Linked DNA regions of Struthio camelus. The protein of the gene in region 1 interacts with the protein of each later gene in a pairwise test. Links are inferred from orthologs where the notes say so. Each region holds a gene or a part of one and is shown on either strand. Other genes may lie near its edges. The genes, in order: RNF103 and ubiquitin-conjugating enzyme E2 E2.

What was found.
Region 2: the proteins of RNF103 (region 1) and ubiquitin-conjugating enzyme E2 E2 interact in a two-hybrid assay, tested with the Homo sapiens proteins (2 studies listed by BioGRID). The link is inferred for Struthio camelus from reciprocal best matches to the Homo sapiens genes RNF103 and UBE2E2.

Annotation. Positions count from the first base shown.
Region 1 is NC_090945.1:80,783,027-80,793,384, forward strand, and holds the start of RNF103 (E3 ubiquitin-protein ligase RNF103), read right to left. Parts: upstream 4,367-10,358; 5' UTR 4,307-4,366; coding exon 4,081-4,306; intron 3,567-4,080; exon of another isoform or gene 3,432-3,566; intron 2,347-3,431; coding exon 2,207-2,346; intron 1-2,206. UniProt on the Homo sapiens protein: Acts as an E2-dependent E3 ubiquitin-protein ligase, probably involved in the ER-associated protein degradation pathway.
Region 2 is NC_090943.1:43,803,262-43,813,856, reverse strand, and holds the start of ubiquitin-conjugating enzyme E2 E2, read right to left. Parts: upstream 4,121-10,595; 5' UTR 3,757-4,120; intron 1-3,756.

The DNA.
Region 1 (10,358 bases):
TGCCGGCTCTAAATGATAAATTCACTTCTGAATTTGTGTCAAATATATCAAGAAATAACAGCTGTTTCCTCTTTATCTTCTGATTCTCTGCAGATAGGGTTTGCGATCACATTACTGGCCTGTGCCACCTAGAAATTTCTTTTACATGCCTTGGAAAGAATCACTAGAAAATAAAAACCATCTTCAGAGTTCCTGTCTCCTGATACATCATCATAAAGCCTTCGAAACCACCTCAGGCAACAACCACCGCGTCAGCTGAGCCAGAACTGCTCCTTTTCCTCTACTGCTGTCCAGCAGCCAGTGTGGAAGAGAAATGCAGGGTCAAGGATCCTGAAGGACCTGGAGCGCCTTTCTGCTTCCCAGCCAGCAGCAACAGGAGAGCAAGGGAATGCTCTCTCCTTCATTACGGTCACTGAATCTATGCACAAGGCATCCTCACTCTGATATTATCTCCTGCATCGAGTCAATGCAAAAGTTTCCAAGGCGTGCCTAATGATAAGGCAGGCTGAGCAAGGGAGAGTAAGAAGGAACTAGAACAGGGAAGTGATGGTTAGAAGAAGCTTTAGAGGAAAGAGGAATAACAAAACAGCAAGGTGAAATCTGCACACGAACATGAAGAATACGGTGCAGGAGAGGAGCAGGGAGGGGAAGGAAGAGAAAAGGAACTAATGAAAACTCAAAGTGATGAAAACTGGAGTGAAGGCAAGGATGAAAAAAAAGAAATATGACATTTCTAGCATATATTTTACCATGGAGAACCAGACAAACAGCATTCAGCGAGTAAATTGTTCAGTAAATTCCACTCAAATTTTTTTCACAGATATTGTGACCAACTGAATAGCTGTTCAAATATTCCCAAAATGATGACAACATTCATCACACTAGGAGATATCAAAAATGCAGCCTATTTGATCTCCTGTTATGAAACTAGCTGAAAATGTATTATGATTAAAATTCCGGAAGCTACCAACAACATATCGCTACCATATTTTATTCTTTTGAATTGCATGGGGAGGAGAGAAGATTTTTCACAGTATATTCATGCATGTATTTATCAGCTGCCTTGGAGATGTTAAGTAAACATCCTTTCAATGCTCGCTCTCCAGTTGAAGAATCTCCTTCTGCACGATTTAAACCTGAAACTTGGATTCAATGAGCACTAAATAAACCTCTCCCGAAATACAAATGCTATTTGGACTATGAAGGTAATCTGTCCTCTCGTTGTCTATTTTAGGGTCAAAGCTGATGTGGTGAGAGTGCAGGTCTAATAACAGAAAGTCTTTAAATCTTGATAATCTTCTACTTAAATAGAAAACATGAAGTGAGGAGACCAGACAAAGCATTTCGTCCAGGAGAGAGCTGTCAACGAAACAGTGAATTGTCTGGTGAAGAATTCTGATTGCCCAGTGTAGCTGCTAGCAGGGGGGAACTTGCACCTAAAAATAAAATCTCTTATCAATGGAGAAACTGATGCAGAAAAGCATTTTTTACCTTTTTGTCTAGATTACTATCTCACGTTCTAAAGAGTGAAGACAAATTATTTCAGAATCCTTTTTGCAGAAGTCTTTCCCCCCTCCCCCAAAATGTACTTATTCTCATGCATCCTTGGGGAAGCATGCTAAAAATCAACGCGGCCACAACGTTTGGAGAAAGGTAAGCTTTAAGCTGCTGGAATACGTTGTGGGATCAGCCTGACAGCCCTGAAAGGAATACACTGAGATCTTGCCTCTCTGAAGGGAGAACAGAGATTGTAGAATTGCTCTAAGCCCCTTAGATAAATGGAAGCTTAAACCGGTTGGGTCTGAGCACGGAACGCATGGAGCAACCGCAAGGTAAGAGCAAGACCAGAGGCACCTCTCCTAGGCCAGCTGGGAGCACAAATACTTAACACACCCACTTGACACACAAAACACAAGCTCTGACGCTATCAGGGCCATATTGTGCAGACCATATTCTTAAGTATGTGCTGCTATGCCCACTTCTGGTTGTAAAGCGCCTGGTTTTCAAAGAGCAATCCACACAATAACAGGTGTTACTCCTGCCCGCGCAGGAACGCCGTCATTTCTAGCCTTGCCTGCTTTTTTGAACAGAGTTGCTCCTTAGATCTCACGCTCTTCCTACTACATAACTACCCTCATAAATGCCTCCTTTGAAACATATTTTGAATATGATAAATATAAACAAATAACTTGTACAATTTCTATACCTGTACCAGCCAGATCCCATCTTTTGTGTCTTCCACAAGCTCATAGAAGTGCATTTCCCCACTGAAGTTTGTACTTGAAACTGATTCAGAGGCCTCTTCCTCCTTGAGAGCAGAATAAAGCTCTCCTTCCATGAGGTCTCCTGAAAAAGAGACAGTAAGAGAAATACAGTCTAAATGACACTTGAGAAAGATCATGACAAAATTCTGATAGTAATGCCAATTGTTTTTCTGAGAGTGGCAATTTCATTAAATATATTTTGTGTGGCTGCTTACAGGACTTTTTCAGCATGAAGGCAACTGAACTTTATTGCAAACTTATTTCAGTTCTGTGTGTAGCGACATGACTACAAACAATTTGACGTCAGCTGTCAGACCACAGAGGGCATTAGCAATATATTCTCATTACACAGAGGTACCATATACATGCAACCAAACACGCAAAAAAAGTTAAGGCACACCTGAGCCTCACTATCTGAGAATAGCAATATTTCAATGGCAGACAGCAGTTTAATTTAGGTATCTTCACTTCTATTTCGCAGGATGGTATTTTTACAGCGCACACGAATTGTTAACGCTGATAATTCAAGCGGATTTCCAGAATTCTGGTCAATACTGTTGCACCCCAAAACATGTTGATTATCCCACTGTAAGCAAAAATCTAACGTAGACCAGGTTAGCGGCTGGGTTTTGTCTGCTAAGTACGAAAAAGCTTCCAAGATCTCCAGTCCTAGCAACGCAAGTAACTCACGGGAAAGCATTTTCATAGCATTTCCTCTGTAATCTCGTTTCCCTCTCATGTGTTGTTTCACAGTCTTTACAAACACTGTTAGTAACAACTTGCGTTTTGACAAGCAACTCATTCAGTTTGGAGAAACGAAGTGCTGTCCAAAGAGGCTGTTTCTTACCAAACGAAAAGCCAAAAAAAAAAAAAAAAAAAGCGTTACCGCTGAAACCCCTCGGGGCGCTCCCAAAGCTATCGATACAACGTAGGGGAAAAAAAAAAAAAAATTACGGAAAAAATCCTGCAAAGCCTGTTGGTATTAAAAGCGTTTCCATGGCATTTTAAGAAGTCGGTTAGCACGGTCCGTTTGGAGTCAAACGCTTCCCTGCGGCATTCGCAACCCCAACACGACGACACCACGGAAGCGCCCGACGAGCCAGAGCGGCCGGAAGCAAGAGTGAAATCGCCCCGTGGGCTTTCCAAGCGGCAAAGCCGACAAACCACCTAAACAAGCGATGAAACCACGGGAGCAAACGAGATCTCAGACGCCCAGCGTGCACAGGAGTTAGTAAGGAGAGCGAGAGCGTCTCGAAGCCGGCGTAGGTCGGTGCCTCGGTGCTGTCCGTCTGGCCGGCCACGACGTCTCTCTCTCTCAGATCGATGGCTGTTAATTTGAGAGCAGCGATGACACCGGCGCTGCGGGGATGATTTACGCCCGCTCCCTCTCCGGCCCGCTGCTGCAGGCCCTCTCGTCCTTTCCTGCGAGACCGTCCGCGACCTCCGTCCGCGACCTCCGCCGCTCCCCGTCCTTCGCCGCTCCCTCGGGCCTCCCCCTCCCCAAACACCCCCTCGCCTTTCCGCGTGGGTTTTTTCCAGCCTAATTCCCTTCCCTCGGGGCCATCCTCGGCCTGCGGCCTCTACTTCTTGCGCCTCGTTCTCCAAACCCACCGCCTTCCTCGGCCCTGGCCCGGACGGCGCAACCCGCGGCGGCAAGAGGGGCGCAGGGGCACCCGGCCCAGCCTCGCCTGTCGGGCTCGGCGGCGCCCCTCCAAACCTCCCGCCTCCCCTTCCCCCGGCGGCCCCCGTTGGGGAGGGGGAAGGAAGGGGCCGGGGCAGCCCGGCCCCACCGCCGCCTCCCCACCCCGGCAGCTACCTGACTTCTCCACCAGCTCCCGCACATCCTTCTTCTCGGGCAGCCCCGCGTAGCCCAGCCCGCGGCCCTCCAGGATGGTCCGCAGCTTCCGGAAGCTCAGCGCCACCGGGTCCACCAGCTGCGTGGCGAAGAAACCCGTCTCGTACCACGCCGCCGCCTCCAACACCCGCGCCAGGGCGAAGAGCGCCAGGAAATAGAGCAGCAGGAAGAGCAGCTTCAGCCACATCTTCCCCGCGGCGGCCGCCGCCGGCGCTGCGCGGGGCGGGCGGGGGGGGCCGCGCCTGCGGCAGCGCCCAGGGAGGGAGGGAGGAGGCGGAGAGGCGGCGGCCGGGGCCCCCGCTGCCCGCCCCGCTCCGCTCCGCCTCCCCGGGGCCGCCCCGCCACCGAGCGAGGCGCCGAGGGCGGCAGGGGGCGCCCGGCCTCACGGCGACGCCTCCCCCCGCCGTGATTCAGCACCGCCGCCTCGAGCGAAACCACCACAAAACATCCCCCCCCCCTCACCCCCAACACCCCTTGGCCGAGGACGCGCGAGCGATGTGACCCCCCCCCCCTCCCCGCTCCCTCCCAAATCCAATAACAAATAATAATAAACCCCATAATAAATCCAAATCCCCCCCCCCCCAATAAATCAGTGACGGGATAAAGCAGCTCGCAGGTAACGCCTGCTCGCCTTAACCCGTGCTGTGGTTACTTAAAAAAATACATATCCATGTATACATAAAATATATATACCTAAAATATAGATTATATAGATAAAATACAGATTTCGTCTGTCTATCTGTCTAGGGATGCTAGATCTGCTAGCTGGGAAACGGAAAACCCAGACTGGCATTTTTTCATCAGCAGAAAAAATATTTACTCAGTCTAAACGGAGCGGATGTGTTTGGACAGTTTTAAGACAACCGAATGGAAACAGTTGACTGGGAGGGTGATGGCAAGCTGTTCGCGGGGGGGATTAGCCCCTCTCTCGGCGGTTCTCCGCGACGGGGCTCCCGGCCGGCCGGGAGCTGTCGGTTGCTGCTGCAGTAAGTGAGACAGTGAAACTCGGCTGCACGGGAGCGAGAGGCAAATTCTGCAGCTTCGCCGTGGTGCTCACAAACTTGAAAAGCAGCTTGAACTGCCCGAGGAGAAGGCAACCAAGAAACCCGCACCGCAGCTTCTGAAAACCATTTCAAAATTGTTTTTATTCTTCAACGCTGAAGCAATTGTAAATGCAGCATGGAGCCTTGCTTAAGCGCTCTGCACATAGTCCTGGTCCGTCTAAGGCGGCTGTAAAGACTCCGTTTGGCCTGCTTCGAAACAGGTACTAAAATTCAAACTTTGAGCTGAAGGCTCTCCTCTGAAGGAAACTCGACGTTTCTTCTGTATGTTGGGTTATTTTAAGACACCGTGATTTGCATGAAAATTACCAACTCATACACATGACTGCAAAAATAGCACAGCTTAATTTTCAAAACACTGACAACCCCACAGAGTGTACGGGCTTAAGTAATTCCGCACCAGGGTATAAAAATCACATTTTTAAAAGATAACATTAAAATTGACCTGGAGAGAGAAAGCATTTACATAGCCAAACTCCTCAGAACTGTTAAACACATTTATAGGGTGGTATGATTTAAAGAAAAGGAAAAAAAAAAAAAGGCAAAATGTCAACAGTTCTAGAAGAGGAATAAGAACTCTATCCTTTCCCTTTGTCTTTCCGTGCCCTAACCTATCCAGCCTAAGATTTGGGCAGAGTGGGATGCAGGTTCAGCCTGCCTGGTATTGCACGTTCGTGCACAGCCGTTGCCTCTTCAAGAGGAAAATTCGGGACGCTATTTTCTTCTGCAACGGACCCAGTGCAGTTTGTTTTCTGGAAAGTGGAAGAGGAGAGAGATTGTAGAAGCAGCTGCCCACCAACCAAGCCCTTGGGGGCGTGTAAATTTTGTGCCTCATATCAGGAGCTATCTCAACCCTTATTCTCCATACCTTTTTTATGTGGTGCAGTAAAAATTAAAGGCGGAGAGGGTGGACTGCAAAACCCAGCTCTGCTGATGCTGCTTAATTAAATGCAAACTGATTTCATCAGTTCACTCTGATTTGAAGCGAGCCTCTTGTGGGAAGTGCAGCGTGAGGACAACGTACTGGAGGAACAGTCGACAGGAAGAGCTTGTGGGAGGACAGGGCTGAAGCGCTGCCTCCTCCTTCATAGTACATTAAAGCTGCATAAGCTCCCTCTTCAACGGAGTAAGTGGCCATCTCCCTAATATGAAAGCGGCCACCTCACTAGGATTAATCCTTTCCCCTTGGCCAAAACAAAACTGAGAACGGTTTTGTTCTTACTGTTCGAAGAGCCAAAGTACTTTCAATAAAAAGCACACTCAACATCACCTGTCGCTAGGACCAAAGGAAGGCTCTCAAGTATTGAAAACACACCAAGAAAACCACATTTTTCTTCTCTTCTAAAAGCTTCATGAAGACCCCTTTCTTCTGTGACACACACAAGAAGCTGCCTGATTTCTGTACTTTTTGTTTCAAGTGAGCAGCTCAAGAATAAGTGGAGTGCTGGGTGGGAGGAAGATACGGAGTTAAATGTTTGCAGAGAAACTTTGTGTGTTGAGTTAAAAAAGAAAAAAAGCATTTTGTTTTTAACACGAGAAGCTGTAGACCCTTCTCCACCCAATCACTTTGTTGTATCCCCTCCTTCCCCTTATTGCTTCAGGCTGTGTGCTGTGCTTAGTGATAGTCTGGCTTCCTCCAGCTGGAAAGCACCTAGCAACAATTAATAGTCTACACTCACAGCAAAATTATTTGCAACACCAACTGCTGGGGAGGCTGTCACCAATATGTCATTTCCTAATGCTCATGGGCTGAGTTAAATCAGTTCCTAACATTCCCCAGTGGTAAGTGATGATGAGTCCCCTGCAGATACTAAGCTAATCATCTGCCAAAACTCAAAACCCTGGAGTAACTTCAAGAAAGTAAAAAGTATGTTTCAAACCACTGTTCAAAAGCCCCCCAAACAACCAAAAGCAAAGCAGCTATGAACACAGAGGCAAAGGGGCAACAGAAAGCAATGATGAATAGGGGCACAGCCGCAAATGGAAAGCATACTGGGCACTGGTATGACCAGGAACTGGCCACTGCAGGTGAGTTAACCAAAAGCCTGGAAGAGAAAAGGATTATTGCTAGGAAAGCTGAGCAGCAGACCTGGGGCCTCTGTGCTAAAACACTGGTGCCTAGGAGACTTTCCCACAGCACTGAGGGCTCTGCTCAAACAAACCAGAAAATGTTGACATATTAACAGAGGCTTGGATTTTCTTCCTCGGACTCATATTTGAGTACAGTGAGAAAGACCTCCTAAAACAATTCTCCTCTCCCAGACTCTCTCATCCTCTTTTTTCTCCCCACCTTCGCATCCCTGACTTATTAAACTGACCCCACCTGAACTGGCCATGATGTTCTAGACGCAACCGGCATTTCTTGGTTTCTAGCTGGAACTCCGAATGTCTTTGACGTGTCAGCTGCAAACACGTTTTCAGGGATTTTAATTATCTGGAAATGCAGAGAACAGTGAATTGAAAACTCATTTGGGCTGAAGGCAAACAAGAAAGATGCTGACATTTTTAAAGACCCCAGTGTTAACTCAACCTAATTAACGATATTAAACAGCCATCAGACAGTCAGTCCGATGCTCATAGAGCAGTCTTACAAACGTGAAGAGAATGAAGTATGTAAGTCCTACCCTTAAACATAAACCTGAAGCAGGGATTTGCTTTTAAACAATCTTGGCAGCAAAAATATTTTACTATGATTTACCAGAGAACGAGACCAAATCCTGAGAAATGGGACAACCATCTTTTCTTGTCAGAGGGCCAAATTTGAAGCCTCAGCTGCCCCTTGATAAATGGCAAGGATTCCCTCTCCTCCCCCATCCTTCCTGACGGGCAGTTGCTGACTCCGCAGCCTGGAAATACAGGCAATAATCCACTTCCTAGACTCAGTCTTATACAGGGAACACTGAAAGAAGGGCTGTCATTTTGAAGTCCATAACATTGAAACTGAAAATTGTAAGTCAGTCCCTTACCAAGTTAAATCCCTTGCCAAGTTAAATACTATCATACCCTCTTCTTGCACGGTTTTAATATTGACATACAACAAGATAAATTTGAGCAAACTAACATTTAGACTATCTGAAACCAGTTTTCCTAAGAGTCAGCCTGCTCTGTAAGTGTAATTGTTAGGAGCTCACTCACATACTATCCCTTGATGTACTTTTTCTACAATATAGGTGCATTGCCACAAATTGTATACATTATATGACACCCTGCCTACTTGTCATTAACTGATATTATTCAAAACAGCCAGTAAGTGCGTGTGAGAGTCTCAAAGCAAAATGGCAGCAGCCAAATAACACTATTTTATTACATGTGGAGAAACTGTAAGGTGTTTCCTATTATCTACAAGTGGCCAAAAGGACACAGATTTAACACGTAGATGTTATTTTGCAGCATGATGGCCAAGATTTGACAGCTCAACTAAAGCACTAGCTATTTAAATGAGGCACTCCTTACATGATCTAGTAATGAATCATAGAATAATTCAGGATGGAAGGGATGCCAGGAGGTCACGCAGTCCAGCCGCCTGCTCAAAAAGCAGGGCCAGCTATGTCACCAGACCAGGTTGCTCAAAGCTTTATCTAGTCAAGCATTTTATTAGTTGTAGCTGAGAGTCACTCTTCCCCGTCCCGTGGCAAGTTCCCTTGCCTTCAAATACGCAGTAGTCAATGTCACAGAAACTGAACACGTATCAAGGCCAAACCAATATACAGGAGCAAAATGGATTAATTAAATCTTGAAATAAAGGATCATTTTTTTTGAAGCAGGTAATATTTTCTTTTTTCTAACAGTGAGAATCCATTTACTGCTCCCTGCAAAAGACATAGGTTTTGTTTAATGACAAAAAAAAAAAAAGTGAACTTGCTTGCCTATGCTAACAGAAGACAAAGGAGAATACAGTGGTGAAGAACGTAACAAATCAAACCAGCATGCTAATGACATAAAACCCAAGATGATATTTGCATGGCTTTAAACATCACATATGGTTACATAAAGAATAAGACTACAAACAAGGGCAGCAGTCTTGGTCTGAATCCAACAGAATGACAGCCACTTGTAGGCATCTACACAAATCACGTGCTCTTGCAAGAGAATACAGATTTCTCTATTTTCTTATCCTATTTCAGCAGTACTTTACACGGGCACAGACGACACAACATCACTCCAGGCTCAGACCAAGTGCTGTTTTTGCAGGTAGTTTTGTCTAGTTGAGCAGGAGGTTTTGATGTACTGCGCTACAGAAACCGTGGGGCCACGGTCTGGTTTGTGCTACACTTTCCAAACACTGAAGTTGCCACAAGTACGCCAACCAAGCGATACTCAAGCAAACAGGGGCATGCATCTCTTTCAACCGCGCTCATCAGTCGGCTGCAGGACTTTAACCCACGAGACTCAACACTCAAGAGGAAGTTTGCTGGCCAAGCTAGTGCCCTAATGACAGCCTAAATCCTCCGTTTCCGGCCCGCCAGGATTGTTAATGAAGCACTGACCCCGCTCCAAGCCTCTCGGCGGTACGTAGCAGTGCAAGGCTGGGGGCGGTGGGGAAGGGCCTTGCCCCCGGCCCCCGCGGAGCTCCGCTCCCGCCGCGACGGGCTGCTGCCCGGCGATTTTCACCTCAGCACGGGGGCTAAGTTACACCTAAGGGACCAGCCCCAGCCGGCGGCGCCCCACGGCGCAGGAGACCCCTCGGCCCCCTCCGCCACGGCCCGAGGAGCCGCCGGTGCGGCCCGGTCTGGGCCGCACATCAGGGCCCCGCGGGCCGCGCCTGTCACCATGGCAACGGCACCCGCAGGACCCCGCTCTTAGCTGCCTACCTTACTGCCTGAGTCGTAACACGGCACTTTGAGGACCCCCCTCGCCCTAGACTGTTATTCTCAGCGCCCGCCCCGCGGGCTGCCTAAGGGGGGAGCCTAGAGGCCCGCGCTGCTGAGGCCTCCGCCGGCTCGAGAGGGGCAACTCACTCCCCCCATCGCGGCGGGGGGCGAGGCCCTTCCGGGGCTGTCCGCGGCGTTGCCTGACCAACACTCACCGCCCCGCCCTTGGCGGCCCGCCGGGAGGCCCCCGGGCTGCCCGTTGCTCTGCCTGCGCCGAGCGCCGCCGAGGCCCCCGGGCTGCCCGCGGCGCTGCCTGCGCGACGGCCGCCGCCGCCGCCGTCACCGGAGAGGAGCGGGAAGTTGCGAG
Region 2 (10,595 bases), on another chromosome or scaffold:
TTTTTATGTGCCTTAAGGAAATAAAGCAAAACAGATTTGTGTCTCACAGAGATGAGATATGTAACTATCTCATCACTATGCCACCAGTTCAAATCTAACACAGTTTGTTAAAAATTGAAAGCTATTACTATCTCAAGACTCTCTGTTATCCCATATGAAATAAATCTATGGGCTCTTTCCAAGACTATAGTGCGAGTTTCCACATTACAAAATCCACATCTTATTTGGCATGCTTGATGGAAACATTAATAGAACCAAAAGGCACTAGCACAGAACTGTTTGTATTTACTAAAACAGCACACCTCTAGAACGGTAAACACATCGGTAGAGGATATAAGGACATTTTCTTCCGATGAATTCTGTTCAAGTGACATCAGGCAACAAAGCCACCAGAGAATACCAGCTACAAGACATTTCAGTATATTTCATAAGTCAAGCTAATGCATTTTTTGCACACTTCTGATACGAGTTAGCTATTTTGATTTTCTTCCTTCATTTTAAGTAACATAATAAACAATATGCCGACAGATGAAGAATTGCAAACCCACTGCTACAGCTGTCGTGACTTCTCTAACTATTCTAATGAAAGGCAGACGTCCATGAAAAACTCTTAGTAAATTAGCAAATATGGTGGCAATGACTGTTAGAAAATTTTACTAAAAGTAAAGTATTTTCTTTAACTCCAAATCTGTACTTTATATAAATATTTTATATGTCTTCCTCTAGAGATTTTAATGAAAGAACCACTTTCACAGCACATAGGCCCAAATGTTACTTGCTTAAACCCATGCACTGCCCATATATCTGGGTCGTTTTCTGATTGAATCAGTCTGAATCAAGAATTTGCTCTTTCATACACAGAGTTTTAAATTGCTGCTAACTTCAACTTGCTTATCCTTCTATCTCATGTACAGAGACCATCACGTTTAATAATAAAACTATTCACCTTGATTATTACGTGTTTTAATACTCTATCAAGAAAAAATAAAAGGATTGCAGGCTCAGATTTAACCATGCTCATTTAATGAATTAAAAAGATCACCATCTTCCTGCATGTAGTTATGGAAAGAGGCAGCAAAGGAAAAGCAGCGTCACATCATTGTCAACAGGGTTATGCTAAAAAGGATACTTTTAAAAAGGCCATAAGCTTTTTTGGTAGAGTTGCATGTAAGAAAACAAATTTACTCCTATCTTGTAAAAGCCTTACCAACATCTGATACTATCAAGTAGTATGCACTTTAGAGTGGAAGAATCAATCTTTTCAGGCATTATTCACATAACTCAATCCAATTGACTTAAGCAGGAATTAAATCTTTCCTGTCTAATTTATGAGGCTACACAGAAAGGAAAGGAAAATCTGGAAGTATGAAATGCATTCAAAATAGTTAAAAGGTTAAAAAAAATAGCAAGTGATGGATGTGGGACTAGGTTATTCTTAATCAACTTACGCTACATTTTGAGGTTCATAAAAGCAGTGTTTTATAAATATATATTCATATATAAATACATGCAAAAGCACAACACCTAGGCTGCTGCATGAACTGAAATAATATATCGTTTGATTTCTAAAATTAAAATATAAAAATTGTTCATTATTAGCAGAACAATTTTCCCTGCAATATAGATACAATATCATATTCACCGTTATTCACATATTTGCACAGGTTAATCTTTAGATATTTATAACCTGGCTGTCAAATGTTATGATGAAAGAAAAAAAAGACTTAGAGACAATAAAAGACAAGAGTAGCATACTTTGATAAGTCATAATATGAATTTAATAACTGTAATGAAAATTGGAAAGCAGGGACCCGCTTCATTTGCTTCTATATGCAGCTAAAATACAAACTGATTGTTTTTATCATGTTTCTGATGGCCTTTATTTACTCTAGATTCTATTTCTGATCTTTGATTAGTGCATCTAATTTTAAACACAAAATTATCTTCACAATGTACCTATCATTTAGCGCTACTGGTCAGAAAGTCAAAAGCGTATTTAATGAAGCCTATATACATAGACATCTGCTGTGAATAATCTTGGCTATAAATATTACTATTATCCAAAAACAACTGTATTCACTTCATAAGTTCAGGTTGCTATCCAGCAGATAAACACTGTAACAGTAGCCCAGAGCATATAATTACTGTAACATGTAATGCCAGCATTTACAACAGGAAAACGCTTAAATCTGTCATTTGACGTCTGGCTAGTTTCTTATTCTTTCTCTCTCACAGCTCTGTGTCTCTCTCTCTCTCCCCATCTCTCTCTGTTCGCCTTTCTGACATCCAGAGACAATTATTTCCATGCCCTCCGCTCCTAATGCCTGCAATTTTAGAAATTTTGCATAGTTAAAGGGATGTTCAATACTGTGAAAAAAGTGTATTTTAACAGCCCTGAAGTCAGACACTTCAGATGTGGCCAAACTTAGAAAACAAGCACATGAACAAATAAAAGAATGGAAAAGAAAAATCAGCTGGGGAATGACACTGTAGGAAAACATTTCCGTGCAATCAGGACAGACAAATGCAAGATATTTCTTGAATCTAGACAGCCGTAAGTGTGTTTGCAACAGTCACACAGAGTAAAAAGAGAAACACGATGTCCAGTTCCCTCGGCTGCCAGACTATTCTACATGTGGAATAGGACAAGGGTTTTTAACCTTCCTGCTGTTGTGCTGAGAAAATTGTGTGTGGTGGGGGGGGAAGGACTTAAAAGTCCTTCCCTTAACATGAGATGATTCAGCATCGACAGAGACTACAACTGTTAAGTACAACTATAAATTCTAAGTGAAGCACGTCCAGAAGACCCTGCTTCTGTCGTATATATCCACTGGCACCTTCCCCTCCCTTCTCAAGAGGAAAAAAAAAAAAAAATCCAGCAGTCAGGGAAAGAGAGATCCTGGCAGCGCGCAGATGGGTCCCAAGGGCAGCAGAGCTAGTGATGATGCCCTTCTAAAGCGGTCTTAATTTCCTATAAGCAAAGATAAATTGAATATTTCTGCAGGGGTCCATGAAGAGACAGGAGCAGCCGCCTTACTTCGTCTTCATTAGAAACCGTAAAGGGCAAGAGGATCACAACACTACAGGGCAGAGAGGGGAGCCCGCTCGCTGCCCGGCCCGGGGCGGCGGGGGCACCGCGGCGGCTGACACGGCCCCGCACACGCACACTCACACGCGCGCACACACACACACACACACACACGCACAACACACGCACAACTCGCCTATTTTCCTCCTGCCCGGAGGGGGAGGGGGCGGCGCATGTCACGGAGACACAATGTGCAGTAACTATGCAGTCCTGGAGGACGGCGTGAGACGGCCACGGGCACTTCCCAAACCTGACACCCGCCCCCGCCGCCCCGCTCCTCCGTGGGGGGGGGGGGGGGAGGGTGCCGCGCGGGGGGAGGAGGAGGAGGAAGAGGAGGCCGCGAGAGGAAGGCGGGGGGGATGTCCGGGGGGGGGGGTGCCCCGGCCCGGGTTGCGGAGCGGGGCCGGGGCGGGGGGAACAGGGGGCCGCTGGCAGACGGGGCAAGTAGCGGGGCCGGCGGAGTTGTGCCTGGGGTGGGGGGGGGGGAATGGCGGCAGCAGGGGAGGGGCGGCGGGGAGATGCTGGGGGGGGGACAGGGGGTGACATGGGGGGGGGTGAGGGCAGAGGTAGGCACCGTGGGAGCGGGCAGGGCCCTGGCGTGGGGGAGGGGAGGCGGACGGGACCGGGATTTGGGTTGGGGGGGGGGGAGCAGGAGGGGTCGCCGCTACCTGCGGGCGAGCGCGGGTCTGCGGCGGCGCCGGGCTCAGGCTGCGGGGCGATGCGAGGCGGGCGCCCCGCGTCCGGCCGGGCGGGGGGCTGCAGGGGGGCTGCGGCCGGTCACTGAGTCATGAGCCCGCTGCGCTCGCCCTTTCTTTCTTTCTTTCTTTCCTTCCTTCTTTCTTTTCTTCTTTCTTCCTTTAATCCCGCCGCCTCTTCCCTCGCTCCCTCAGCAGCAGCGGCGGCCACTGCTGCTGCTGCTCCCACCGCCGCTCCTACCCCTGCTGCCCGGAGAGAAGTGAAGCCGCTGCCGCGCGCGCGCGCGCTCGCGCCGCCGCCGCCGCCTCCGCGCGCGCGCGCGCACTCGCGCGCGCCGCCGCCCGGCTAGCTCCGCGCGCCCGCGCCTGGCAGCCAATTCGCCCCAGCGCTGGCGGTCCGAGGAGGGAGGGAGGGGCGTGCGCGCGCTTGCGGCGGCGGCGGCGGCGGGGGGGGGAGTGACAAGCGAGCGGGGCGGGCGCGTGCCCGCGGGGGCCGGCCGGGCGGGAGGGGGAGGGGGGAGGGCGCCGCCGGCGGGAGCGCGCGTTAAAGGGAAACGCGGGCGGGGCGGGCTAGAGCGGAGCCGGGCAGGGAGGAGGAGTGACAGGATGGGGGGGGGGGGGCGGCGGCCGTTGGCGAGGGGGGGCAGGTTAGCGCTTCTCCCCCCCCCCCCCAATTCCTGCCGCTGGCGTGCCCGCCGCCCCCGAGCAGCTCACGGAGTGAGCGTTAACGGGGTGCGGCGGGGGGGGAGGGGGGGGCAGGCCGTGAGCGGGGGCGGGGAGGCGGCGGCGCCGGCGGGGTTCACTTTCTTAGCTCTTCTTTTGCCCTTTTCGCGTTTCTTTGTTCCCTCGGCTTTCAGCCCCGCGGCTTTGCCTGCTGCGGTGCTGCCAGCCGGGCCCGTGCGGGAGCCCCGCACCACCGCGCTGCCTTTGTCCTCGCCCACCGCCCCCCCCCCCCCCCGGGCGGGGAAGGCCGGTGCCCGGCGGGGGGGGGGGGGGCAGGCGCGGCCGGCGGCCCCCCGGCCGGCAGGGGGGCACCCACGCGTGGCCGGGCAGGGCGCAGCAGCGGCGGCAGGGCCAGACCTGGTACTTTGTTGTCATAGTTAAGTGTTCGCCGTGGTCGTTTTGGCCGCGGATACGCGGCTGGGTGGTACAAACAGCCCGGGGCGGCTGAGAGCAGCCGATGACGTAAAGCATCCCGGCTGGAGATGGGTGCTGCAGCGTGGCTGCGCTCAGGTGAGCGCATCTGGCCTCCCACGCCGGGAGGGAGGCCTTGCCTTACGGAGTGGGAGAGGCCAAGGCAGAGCCACGCTTAGATGTTACCTATTCGGTATTAATGATATTAGCCTGGAACGAAACAAACCCCTGGCAGGGCTGGCTGTGAGGTAACCAGCTCTACCGCCCTAGCTGAAATGCTAGTTCTGCCTAAAACGCTGTACTGGCATTACTTCTTCAAGCTTCGCCTAACATGCAACTGATGCTTAGCTGGGCTGTGCAAATATATTAATTCAAACGTTTCTTCGGCCAGCAGGGAAATACACCCACCCTGGGTAAAGGAGTAATGGCAGGTCATAATGTTTTCCCCTTACTGATGACTGAAGGGAATTAAAAAAAAAATGCATTCATGCTATTCCACATGTACAAGGAAAAGTTTCTCCCCATGTGAGCTGTAAAGTACTGTACTTTTTCTGAGTTGCGGTTATGGTGTAGATGGAGTCCATACTGCTAAACACATGCAAATCAAGAACTTGAACCACTGCTGCGATATTTAAGGATTAGAAACACCATTGCCACCTCTCTCTCATATTATATCCAGACAACAGAAGTTACTTTTGCAGTTTCCATCTACATAAAATTAATCTTTCTCTTTGTTGAGTAATTGCTTTGAAATAACTTGTTTTATTGTGTCTTCCCATTTCCTTATTAAAGTAATCCTAGTCACGTTTTTCACATAGGCTTAAAAACACTGCAGTCGGCTAGTTCTTCCTATTTCACGTGCATTTACAAGATACCTTTTCCTCCTTCTTCTAATGAACTCATGAGGAAAAGCTCCTGATGCTCCAGCTAGGTGGGTTTCTAGCTGCTGGCATGCACTGATTCCTCACAAGGACTAATAACTAGGTAATTAAAAGAATATGATCCATAACAATCTTTTAACGAATGCAAATCTCCTGCAAGTGGTGCTTTGTTATCATGCTGAAGGGGTGCCGGCTGTGTTGCGCGCTCTTGGTATCACAGTCTCCTTTTCCAAAATCACTTAAATCATGCCTTTCTTTGAGGCATTCAGAAACAGACCTCCTGAAAACCATCCAGGAAGCTATGAAATTCACTTCTAAATGAGTCTTCCACCATACTTTCTTAACGTTGTTCTGATTGCTTAGAGGTGCCTTAAAGGAGGCATACGTTTTCCCATCAGAATATCTATCTATTGAAACTCCTTGGCCCGTGTCAGGACTCCGCTTTGGTGGCAGTTCCGTGTGCTTCGTTACAGTTCTTCCCTGCTAGAATCCACAGGAAGCAACAAGAGGGAAGCTCGGTGAATAGACTCCTTTAGAGAGGGATAGGACAGGGCCATAGCATGTCCCAGAATCTGGGTCATAAATTCCTGGTGCCAAAAAAATCAAGGGAGTGCTGAAGTGGAGCACCAAGTGGAGGGTTTGAATCATTGAGAGTCGGGCCCTGATTTTAATTTGGGTGCATAACCTCTGGCCCAAAACCCTAAATGGTACCTTACATTGAGGACAACTAAGCTAGGGAGAAAATTTGTACTGCCTTAATATTCGTACTGTATTTGTACTTAATAATTTTACTGCCTGAACTTGCACACTGAAGCGTGCCTTCTGATTTTTGAAGTGAAGGTCTTGAATGAGCCCTACCTATGTCGTGTAAAGGGAATAGGTCAGGGTAACCAACTGCTCCCAAGTATCAGTTTTATCCTGTCAGCCTTCTGAAATAGTATGTTTAGCCCTCAGATGTTAAAGGTTGCATGATAGTGTGTTACTCAAAATCTTTTTGAAGACTTTTGTTAAGTTTGCATCCCGTATGGTGAAATCCTGGCCCTTTTGAACTTAATGGAAATTTCAACCACGATGGGGTGCTAAGCCACACGTTACACTTTTTTAGAATACTGGACACCTCCGGAACAACTTGAGTTCTTTACTCTCATAAAAGCTTACAGCTTTCTCAGAGAGACACTCAGAGTTAAGATAACCTGGCGCAGGCTGCCACGCTTTATGACTGTTACAGTTAAGGACACTTCCGTTAAGGCCTCTTGGTTCAGCATGCCTGTTACAAGGACATATATGTCAATCAAAATCCATGAAGTTGGAGAAATCTGAGACAAGTTTCCATTTAAGAATGTTTAATTTAAAGATATATCGGATTAATTTAGGTTCCAGTCTTGGAGGTTTCTTCTGCATTTGCATTCATAACTTATCATCTGCTCACATGTAAAATGACACGTCCTTTTAATATTGCTATTTAAGTTTTTAAATGTGCATTGTGGTCAAGTTATAACTGATAACAATTTTGTATATACTTGACATACAAATTGAGGGGATTGGTTTTCTCAAGTAGAGAAAAGACCAGGAAGTATCTCGACTGTGATACAGCTGAAAGCGTTAACAGTAGCTCTCTTGTGATAGCATAATTCACTCTCAAAACTTAAGTATTTCATATTAAAGATTGAGATCAAAAATACTCAATTGTCTGTGGAGCACTCTGTTGTTCTATTCATCTCTTTCAGCCAAATCCTAATGAATCAGATCATTTCATCCCTTCGAGCTATTATCAGCAGAGGACTGGAGGAATGGGGACAAAGGTGTAAAGAACTACCTTATTCCACTTTTCAGCTCAGCAGGGGCTATCCTATCTTGTGTCACTCACCCCATTTCTTCCCTGCTGCTCAGTGTGTTTGATGATTCTTGGGCCCTATCATGCTGTTTTGAGAGCAGCCAATAGCCAGCTATAGCCCTCTCTTTTCCAGTCCTGTCCTCTATCCTGAGAAACTGAGGTGGGAAGGTAGAATAGCATGAATCTCTATAGGAGCTTTATGCTACTAAGGGATTCCTCTCCCATTATTGGCTTTCTTTACACTGCTGTGACAGTACAAAGCCATAAGGATAGTCCAGAGCCTGTATCTGGCCTGTACTGTATTCTCTTTTCCACCTCCCTGCTACTTTTCTTTCTCCTGTGTTCAGTTAGTTCATTCTCACATCATACCTAATTTGTCTTTTTTTCCTACAATCTTGCTTTGCTTTCGTTCCCACTTGGCTGAATCCCACTCTGTTTGTTGGCAAAGGTAAACTGCAATTCACAGAACCCTGCTCTCTGGAGCCCCAAGACACAGCGTTTGAGTGTTTCAGAGATCGAGATTCTTCTTGTTCATTTTGTTTTCCAGCTATCAGCATGTAGTATAAATGGAGTAGCAAGAACAGATTTTGGGAAGGTAGCTGTAGTAGAAATTTCATTAGATTTTTCAGTTAATTGCATATATCTTCATCGCTTAAAAAAAAATCATCCTGTATTAAGGAAAAATGATTGAATCCTGAACACTGGGTAAGCCTATTACTTAGATAGTACCTTGACAGAAATCTGTTTAAAGTATTTTCATGGCATTCTGAAGTAAAATAATTGTGTGGGCACAGAGACTAGCCTGACTTCTTTATTTGCCCTACAATAGTGAAAACCCCCAAATAATTAGAATTCATCCACCCTAATCTTTCCAAGCCGTTAAATAGGAAAAGAGTTGTAAGGCCTGATGCAAACAATTTAAGGTCTCCTTCATTCTACTCTCACCTAAAAAAATAATAATCCGCAGCTCCTCCTCCTCCCCTTTGCTCAGAAGCAGGATAGCTCCCACTATCATTCCACTGGAACCAGAAGAAACAACTGGGACAATAACTATGTGGCATCAGAGCTCCTCGTGGTTCTCAGGCACTTCACTAGCCAGGATTCCAAAGAATGAAGATAAAACATATTAGGGATAGGTAGGAGGGAAGTAATAACTTTCTTCAGTGTTCTTAATGAAAGCCTAGCTTTTTCTTTAAGTTAGGGAATAAATCACTGCTTAGTGTCAGAAAAAGAGATTTGTTTTTATTTGCTGGTTTAGAGCCCAACTTAAGATAATTGCAAAGGATAATTCTCTGATAGTTTCTAGACAGAAATTGTTAACCACTGAGTCCTAGACTAAGGCACTGCTTTAAAAATCTCATCTTGTATGTGCTGAAGGGTGAAATCTTTTATTTCCAAAGCTATTGTAAGGCAGTGACCTGTAACTGGAAGAATTCCCTGCATTGCCTGTCTTAATTCATCACCATAGGTGGGAGACAATGTTGAAAAGTGAAGGTAAGTTAGAAAAGAAAGTTGGGATTTTTTTTTAGTGTTATTTCCACCCTCTTTTCAGCACTTCCACATTCCTATTATTTTCTTTTGGTTCTGTAACACCTTAATTTACAGGATCAGGGCTCTTTATACTAAAGATGGGCAAAATTCGGAGGATCTCTTTGTGATTCTGCATAGAAAGTTACATCTTTACACAGAAAGAGACAGCTGTGGATACTCATGCCCCCTTTTAATAAAGTTAAGGTTCCAGGAGATATGGCCTAACCTCCTCTATGGTTAATGCATGATTAATGCACCCTTCAGGAGTGCCTCCTTAAGGTGGCTAGTACATCCACCATAGCAAAACAAACCCCATATAGTAGGGTTGTTCAATCCTTTCAATCTCGACGACCAAATATATTTCAGAAGCCCAAGGAACCGCAGTCAGTCTGAAGCAGATTGTCTGCCTTGTGGAGAGTGGAAACAACCCACATGTCCTCTGCTGGGGATTCCCCAGGCGAAATGGAAGTCCCCCGCAGCCGTAAGCCAGGCTAGTCATGTTTTGCACTTCTTTCCTGAAGATCCTGGCCAAGGGGCTTGGTTTAGGCTGTACCTGGAAGGAATAAAGGGGCATGTCTGCAGTGTGATAAACCTAAATTATCCTTTCTGGCTGATGGTCAGTTGCACACTACCCAAATAATGCCGATTAAGCAGCTGCTAGGGGCAAAGTCCAGAGAGAAGCACAGGATGAAAAAAATATCTTTGGTCTCTTCCTGCGTCAGTGGTAACTGTCACAGGGAATAAATGACATCTTTTGTCTATAGGCCTAGCTAGAGCCTGACAAACTCCAGTCCACTCTTCCCTGAGCTCCTCCTGCAGACGCTCAGGGAGCAGGAAACAGAACAGCCAGTGCTCATCTTCCTCTCTCACCTGCAACAAAGCAAGCAAACAGCAGAGGCAGCAACTTCAGGGAAGGGGCAGGCACTCTTAATTACACTGGAACTGTTCCTAAGGCTGCAGACAAAGTCATGGGGAGGCAGTGGGGAGGATACAGGTTGAGCACACACTTAATCTAAAAAAAGATGCAAGGCACAGCACAGGGACACATACCTACTTCATAATTAAGCAGACTTTGCCCTTGAATATCAGTGCCACAATTCAGAGCCCTGAGCAGCACAAGTGGGTTGTTGGCCATTGTTAGACTCAGCTCGTCTCAGCCACACAAGCATAGCTCAAACTTGTTCTATTACTGGAAGCTTAAACAGATATGAGCCAATCATCAAACATGAGTCTAAGCTTGGCTGCTTTACTATGATCCTAAAATAAAAAGAGGGATCATGCACGTCACATGGGCTCCAGCAAATGCAGTTGGAAAGATATTGCGATGTTTCTGTTTGCAAAGATTTTGCACGTGGATATAGTAAGTGGTATCAGGGAACATAAAAACACCTGTTTTTAAAGCCAGGTAAAAATCCCTGTATTTTTAAAATTTT